Linked DNA regions of Mus musculus. The protein of the gene in region 1 purifies or fractionates together with the protein of each later gene. This does not show direct contact. Links are inferred from orthologs where the notes say so. Each region holds a gene or a part of one and is shown on either strand. Other genes may lie near its edges. The genes, in order: Nphp1 and Nphp4.

Region 1 (4,013 bases):
AACAAAAGCAGAAACGGGTCAATAGCCAGTCACCTAGAGCATCCTCAAAATGACCAAACACACCTGCGAAACAAGTGTCCCTAGCTGTCACAGTGCCAGGGTTGAGAATCCACAGGGCCATGGGAGGTTCTCAGAGTTTTGGGCTGATCTAGCAGTTCTCTCAGCCATAGAAAGTCTCCCAAGCCTAGAAACTTGACCAAGCAGGTCTCAAGAGACAGAAGAAAGCTCCAGTGAGCTCCCAGACCTAACTAGGTGCCTCCGAAATAGGTTGAGGTGATGACCTTGGCCCAGGATTTTTCTATGTTGCATGCATGTTCTGGTCTAATGCAGCATGGCTTCCCACCTAGGTTATACTGTGTCAGGGTGAGACAGAACAGTGAGAGAAAGGAGAGAGAGAAAGGAGAGAGAAGAGAAGTGGGGAGGGGGGAGGAGGGGAGAGGGAGAGAAGAGAAGAGAAGAGAAGAGAAGAGAAGAGAAGAGAAGAGAAGAGAAGAGAAGAGAAGAGAGAGTGTTGTGTCAGGGTCAGAGAGTCTTAGTCAGGGTTTCTATTCCTGCACAAACATCATGACCAAGAAGCAGTTGGGGAGGAAAGGGTTTATTCAGCTTACACTTCCATACTGCTGTTCATCACCAAGGAAGTCAGGACTGGAACTCAAGCAGGTCAGGAAGCAGGAGCTGATGCAGAGGCCATGGAGGGATGTTCTTTACTGGCTTGCTTCCCCTGGCTTGCTCAGCCTGCTCTCTTATAGAACCAAGACTACCAGCCCAGGGATGGCATCACCCACAATGGGCTCTCCCTTCTTGATCACTAATTAAGAAAATGCCTTTCAGCTAGATCTCATGGAGTCATTTCCTCAAATGAAGCTCCTTTCTCTGTGATAACTCCAGTTTGTGTCAAGTTGACACACAAAACCAGCCAGTACAGCAGGGAAACTTATCATTTATTGTTTTCAGGATTTTTTTGATCTGGAGACAGATTGGCTCAGGAGCTCTCTTTTTTATTTCTTAATTATCCTTTCCCTTTCCTTCCAGATCCTCACATGTGCTACTGCCACTCCCTCCTCCAGCCCAGCCCCACTCTCTTTCCTTGCCTCTTATTCTTTAATCATTGTTGTTGGTGTGTGTGTTTTCCTAAATATATAAATACAGCCTGCTCCTGCTCCGTCTGTATAACGTTACTCTCACGTATGTTTTCAGGGCTGACCATTTGCTTGGTTAACCATTTGGTGTGCTCTTCCCTGGGGAAGGCTATTTCCCCTGCTCTCAGCCTTCCTTAGTTGTCCACATTTCTCTGTTTAGGCCAGTCTCTAAGCTCTATCTCTTTCACACTAGCATGTCTATTGGTGACTCCAGGTTGTTCAAGTCTTGTTTGGGCAGCTGTATTAGTGAGACTCTTATCAGTTTAGCTTCTCTCAAATTTCTAGGATACATAATCTCACAGCAAGCTTCCTGTTCCTTGGCTCTTACAATCTTTCCATCCTCTTTTCCACAGAGATGCCTGAGTCTTAGGTGCAGTTTTGTTGTAAATGTATCATCTGGGACTGGGCTCCACAACTCTGCCACTTTGATCTGTTGTGGTTTCCTGTAATTGTCCATTGTAAAGAAAGTCTCCTTGATGAGGCGTGAGGAGCCCTTTAATGCCATATCTGGAAAGGTAATGGTGATACTATTAGCTAGTTTTGCCAGTGTCCATATCTGAAGATATTCATGTTGGCATCTGTGGACCAAGGAATCGTCTTTCACTTGGGCCTTGGATGGATGGCTCTGCCCTGGGGGTGAATTTTAATAGCATTTTTGTGGACACCAAACTGCAAGAGTGAAGAGGAAGCTGGTGAGAGTTGACCTCTCCTCTCCCTCACACTGCCTTTTCCGCACTCTCTATAGAGAAGCCATAGAATGTCTGCCTCTAAGGGAGCTTAACAGAGGTAAGGAGAGTGCCCATAAAACACTAGTCAAAGGAAAGTCCTGGCACATCTGTAGTGAAGAATAAGCCAAGCCACACAGGATGAAATCCCTCAGAAGCATGGGGCACAGGAGAGCTTACACAGTCGTGCCAGCCAGCTCCCTTCAGTCCCCGTGAGTGGGAAAAACTCACTTGTAGTGGAAAAAATGAGCTGGTTTTATCTCAGGAGAATTGGAGTAAGGATTTATTAGGAAGGGAGTAAAGTCATTTGTGGGGCAGTTTCCTACATCTTGGTAAGGTTCGGGGTTATGAAGAGAATCCGTCTGTTAAAGTACAGTAAACGTGCGCCTCAGGGTTGTACAGATGCACCTGGGACCTTAACAGAGTGCTCTAGCTTGTGAAGCCAATGGTGTATGATTTGAGGGAATACACTTACTGATGGTTTTTGTGGGGAAAAAGACCTGGATAGATAAACAGGCATTATAAGATGCTAATGGTAGGATCCAGGTGTAGTATTTACTGTAAAATTCCACTTTATTGTATGCTCATGTTCAAAACTGTTTATTATATATTGTGGGAAAATTAGTAAAGTTCTATTTTCTCAAGGCAACATGGCAGTTTATACAGTGTTTTAAACTGTCTCCGTCTGTTGTAGGTTGATAGTTTGGTGACTGAAAGCCAACTAACAGGTGCTCTGGAACCGAGTAAAAGGAGAGAGATTTACCAAAGGTAAGTATGCGGTCCGCCCGCCCGCCCATCCAGGGCTTGTTCAGCGGGTGCTATTTAAATGTTGTACAGCAAGTTTCCCCCGCCCCCTCTTGCTTGCTCACTCTCTCACTCTCACCCTCTCCATCTTCATCTTACTCTTTTCCTTTCCCCCAAAATGAAATAGTAATGGAGAGTAATGTGGAAGGATCAGTGAGTAAATGTCTCCATAATGTGTTTAAAACACCACTTTCTACCCAGTCCAATCGGAAGGAGAGCGAGAGCAGAGCCCTGCAGGGGACGGGGACAGGGACGGAGACAGGGACAGGGACGGACAGGAGCCTGCTCTCAGTTTGTTCTCTGTGCTAAGACTCGTGCCTGTACTCTGCAAACTTTGTCTTCATCTTCACAATAACACTGTGAGATGCCTGCTGACATAAACGAGACAATCAAATTAGACATTAAAGCGGGAAGACGACACAAATGTTTTAGGGCAGCTGAGAAATCTGAGTTCTCTGAAGGGAGAGCGGGCGCTTAGCTGCAGTCTGTGGTGATGAGGCTAGAAGTTCCCTGTAGATGTAGCACAGATCTAGAAGAAAGCACACTGCACCGGACAGTTGTGGACTTGCTGTTTTCATGACAGCAACTGTAAACCCTGCTCGGGGTCAACCTCCCTGGCTGAGGCAGAATCACCCTAGCGTCTTGACCAGCAGAGCCCAGATTTGAAGACCTGGTCACAAATCTCTAAAAGCCATTTGTCCCTGCTCAGGATAGTCACTTTTCAGCTGTCTTCATGTGACCAACTGTTCTCTAGGTGAACAATTAGCCTTACCACTCAAGAAACTGTGGATGATTTGATAAAAAGTAGTGCCTAGTTCTGACAATAGAGAACTGACCTATACTTTATCTTTTCAAAATTTAGATGTATCCAGTTAAAACAGGCAGTAGATGAAAATAAAAACACCCTTCAAAAATTAAACAAAGTAAGTATGATGAATCACCAAAATCTCCATTGACACAAATGCTTTTCGTGGGGATGATTTTCAGCCGCCAAGAGCCTGGGTTTGCATCAGGGGTGATGTCCAGCCACAGCCGGCTGTGGATTGCTGTTTCAATTTGCTATGATAAACGCCATGACGAAAAGCAACTTCAAGGAGGAAAGTTACTTCGCTTACAGAACACAGTCATCACCAAGGAAAGCCAGGCAGGAGCTCAAGGCAGAAGCCTAGAGACCAAAACTGAAGCAAACCCCACAAGAGCTGCTGCTCATCGTCAGCTCTCAGGCTCACATCCAGCTGCCTGCCTTCTCCACAGGCCCACCTGCCTAGGGCTGGGCCTCTGAGATAATTAACAGTCACGAAAATGTCCCACAGGCATGCCAACAGGCCAGTCTGATGGAAGCAGT
Region 2 (4,009 bases), on another chromosome or scaffold:
CTCACTGCTCTCCAGACGAAATGGGCACAGACTCGTCCAGAACCTGGTACCTGAGACCATGGTAAGCATTACTGGTGAGGAGGGCCCTCCAGACACAAGCCCTCACACAGCCCCTGGCCCTCCTCAGATCAACTTCCTCACCCCACAAGCCTTGAAAAGCACTCATGCACCAGCATGCCCTCCAGGGTCTGCCTGACCCTCGCTGACTCTACTTACTGCCTGTCAGGTTCATACAGGAGACCTGAGGACCACCCTCCCCTCCCCACCAGCTCCTCCCCCACCCCACACTCGCGCCCTCTATAGAAACAGTCAATGCACCCCTGGGAGACTCTGAACTCCCTGAGTCAGCATTAGTCCTTGGCGAGACTCAGTCCGCAACAGAAAGAATTAAGACCACTCTGGCAGAAAGGATAGTCTAAAGAGATACTTTGTAACCCTAAAGAAGTAAAATTTCCCCAGGAATCCCAGGCAGCGGGGAGAGACAGAGGAGGAACTTGCCTCTGGAAAGAGAACAGACACCGTGCCTTTTCAGGCCATCTTGGTGGAGAGAGGAGAGCAGAGACAAGGATGGTTGAGTGATGGACTGGACCATGCCCTGGCCAGGACTGCTTAGTTTACATCCTCTCTGACCTGTTTATGCCTAAGAGGGACCCGTTTATCTTCCTCCTCCCAATATGGCCACACTGAATAAATCTTTCTCCACTTTTCATGACTATCTGTCTCTTTAACCAGTTTACTGAAGACGTAAGTGTAAGAGATCAGTATCGGCTCGGGACCCCAGGACCACGTCCTCAGCACAAAGGAGATGTATTTGCCTCAGCTGAACAGGGAGTGGGGGAACAAGACACAAAGACAGGAGATGGAGGATGAGGGAGAAGGGGAAGGGAACAAGAGAGAGGGAAGAGGGGTATTTGTCCCCAAGGACAAAGGACTGCCTCTGGATAGAGAGAAGACAGACATGGCCCAGAGGAAAAATGGCGGTTTATAAAGGAAAAATGGGAAACTCTGTGTTAGGATGAGGTGTTCAATTTTAATTTTAATTGGGTGTATTCATCAGGTGAGCCAAAGGGGGCTTTTAATTACTGAAGTTCAAATACTTTGAAAGCTGAACCTTGGTGGTCAGCCTCGGGAAGAAGCGGGCAAGTAAGGGAATGGCCCTTGGGGGCTAGCTTTAGGAAAGCAATCTAACAGTTTTTAGCAAGGCAGAGGGATGAGGCAGCGTCAGTACCTCCCACCTTACATACGTGGAGACTGGCTCAGACAGGGGAGTTCACAGCTGATACTGACTAGCCTACACCCGTGCCACAGTCCTCCTCCCACTCAGGAAGCCAGGGGATGTCTAGAAGAGGGCAGTGAGCGAGTCCTGCTGGAGATGCCCAACGATGAGGCCAATTCTGTCTCAGCTTCTATGCAGATCCTCACCTCCCCTGCCTGCTTCCAATTGGCCAGACTAGAGCCTTGATGGAGTCTTAGATTCTTCGTTTCTACAGGCCTACTCAGTAAAGGTTTGCCAACACCTGATGTATTCCAGAGGCAAAATGTCATCGCCAACAACAACACTAATTGGTGTGGTGTGGGGGGAGGGTGCATCGCACAGTATGGATCATAACCAAGACACATTTGGTAGTGGGGAAGGGGAGCGACAGGTCAGATCCACACGGAAGGACGGTCAGATGACCCAGAGAGGCTGAAATTCCACAAATTGTGGTGCCAAGCTCAGTGAAGCCTCGTCCCCAGAAATGAAGACCTGAGATTTACCCAATCTAGGGGTGGGGTTATGATGGAGAGCTGACCTGAGAGTCTGATTAAGGGATGCCCTCATTCAACCCTCTGCTATGGAACTAAAGACATGGTCTTTACCAAAGTGGACAGTCTCGCAGATGCCTGGATACAAACACCAGAGCGAGATAGAGCTAGGGCAGTTTGGAACACAAGGCAGAATTACGGCGCGTGGGCACTGTATGGCTGAGCTGCAATGAGACCAGGATTGGGACAGAGAAAACTTGCCCATTCCCTAAACCCACAAAGCCAACTTCAATGCAAACTTCCACGTGAGCCGCGAGAGCATCTCCCCCTAACAAGGCAGGACTAGACATACTGAGAATCCGGACAGCAGTGTGGGTTGGAATTCCAAGCAGTGGAGAAGGCCAACCCTGCGCCCCAGTGGCTGGACATGGACTGAGCCAGGGGCCTCACAGTGCATCGAGGGTCGCAGGGATCTGAGCGAGTTGCATGGCCTAAGGCTGGGATAGAGGCGGGCACACCAGACGGTGGGCATCTTCAAGGCTCTGGCGAGCGTACAGTATCCATTTCGACCCCGGACCGCAGCGCGCACCGGCTCAGAAGGCAGAGAACTAACTGAAGAAGACCCAGCAGCCCAACATCAGCTGGCAACCGGGATGCACCAATGGCGATGCGAGGGGGAGAAGATGCAACCCACGCAAGTCAGGCCCGGTCCTGTGCCCCGTGCGGTGCCTTGCAAACCCCAGGTTGTCCGTAAGAATCAATATGCAGCCCCACCCAGGACCCTGAGGCCTCTTCGAGGCTCTGCTGCCACCCGCGACTCCAACACACGCTGACTTCCCCCGCACTTGGTTCAGTCCTTGCTGGCGCGTTACCTAGGAGACGGGCACCGGATCCACGCTACCGAACACGTCCCGCACCGTGGATCCAGCGATCGGGCTGCCGGTGCCCAGCGGAACCCGAGGAGTCGTGGGTCCAGTGCTGACCGAGGGGGTCACCCAATCCACCGCCACCCACGCGTGGAGCCCGGGCCTGAGGGATACCGCTCACTCAGCACAGAACCCGCCCCACGTCACTTTTGCGTCAAGGCCGCGCGGCCAATGAGAACCCGAGTCCAAGGATTCTGACTCTGCGCGCGCCCGCCAATCCACGCATCGGCGGGAGCTGCATGATTTGCATGGACTGCCTTGGCCATTGCCAATGAGACTGTGACTGGCGTGAAGCATAGCCAATAATAGGCTGCTAGGGGCGTGGCCGAGGGAGTCCCACGAGGTAAAGATGCTGCGGGCGGAACCTGCCGGAGCGAGCGGGATTCGGGGGTGCTAAAGTCGCAAGGGCAGGGCAGGAAGGAAGATCCGGAACGGGGCGTGGGATCCGGAGCTGGAGGCCCCCAGGTGAGTGCAGCCGGGAGACCCCGGCGGGCACCTGCGAGGCTGCGCTGTCGCGGCCACCGCGGTCCCCTTCCAATCTCCTCTTCCCTGGCCCCTCATCCCTGCCCCCGCTGTCGTTCTCACCTCCTCTCCAACCTCCTCATCTCCTTCTCCACAGTCTCCCTGCCCCCACCCCACCCTCTCTGCTTCCCTGTCATTCTAACCCCACCTTTCGGTCGACATCCCGGACCCCTACCCCAAACTTCAATCCCTGGCTCTCTACCCCTTCCAGCCCTGCATCCTCGCCTCGCCCTTGCCTCCCTGCTTCCCATCCTCTCTCAGCCTCTAAGCGCCCCTTAGTAGCTGTCTTCTTTCATCTCCCTCCTTGTTGCTCCTCCAGACGCATCCTTCGTCCTTGCTACCTGCCCTGTGTCCCTCTCGCCTTGACCCAGCTTCCCACCCATTCTGCTCTCGGGCCCCTTCCATGCCTGCCACCACTACCGCACCGCACCGCAGTCTATTTTGCGGTGCTCCCCGGCACCTTGACACCCGTTGCAGCTGTACCTGGTTCCCCCCCCGCTGTCCCTGTCTCTTCACCTCTACCCTCATCCTCAGCTTCTCCCCCTGTGCCCAGGCCCTGGCACTAAGCACTTCCCCACTTCCCTACCTGCTGCTGCTTCTGCTGCAGGATGCAGAGCGCGCTCCGCTGCTGCACTGCTGCCTGCTGCAGTATCTGCAGCAAGATGTACCTGCCCACCTGCCCTCCCTCCTGACTGACGTACCCTGCTTGCTTCTCCTGGCATTTGTCCTGGGGTCTCCCGCAGCATGCCTGGGGCACCCTGGGGTGCTCCAAGTGGGAAGCCTTCCAGCACCCCTTGCTGCCTGCCTACGGGGCT

Evidence for each region.
Region 2: the proteins of Nphp1 (region 1) and Nphp4 purify together in Homo sapiens (co-immunoprecipitation; 6 studies listed by BioGRID and IntAct, with this or other methods). This does not show direct contact. The link is inferred for Mus musculus from reciprocal best matches to the Homo sapiens genes NPHP1 and NPHP4.

Annotation. Positions count from the first base shown.
Region 1 is NC_000068.7:127,778,682-127,782,694, reverse strand, and holds part of Nphp1 (nephrocystin-1), read left to right. Parts: intron 1-2,558; coding exon 2,559-2,632; intron 2,633-3,530; coding exon 3,531-3,591; intron 3,592-4,013. UniProt on the Homo sapiens protein: Together with BCAR1 it may play a role in the control of epithelial cell polarity. Involved in the organization of apical junctions in kidney cells together with NPHP4 and RPGRIP1L/NPHP8. Does not seem to be strictly required for ciliogenesis.
Region 2 is NC_000070.6:152,476,529-152,480,537, reverse strand, and holds the start of Nphp4 (nephrocystin-4), read right to left. Parts: upstream 2,801-4,009; 5' UTR 2,619-2,800; intron 2,576-2,618; exon of another isoform or gene 2,099-2,575; intron 2,082-2,098; exon of another isoform or gene 1-2,081. UniProt on the Homo sapiens protein: Involved in the organization of apical junctions; the function is proposed to implicate a NPHP1-4-8 module. Does not seem to be strictly required for ciliogenesis. Required for building functional cilia.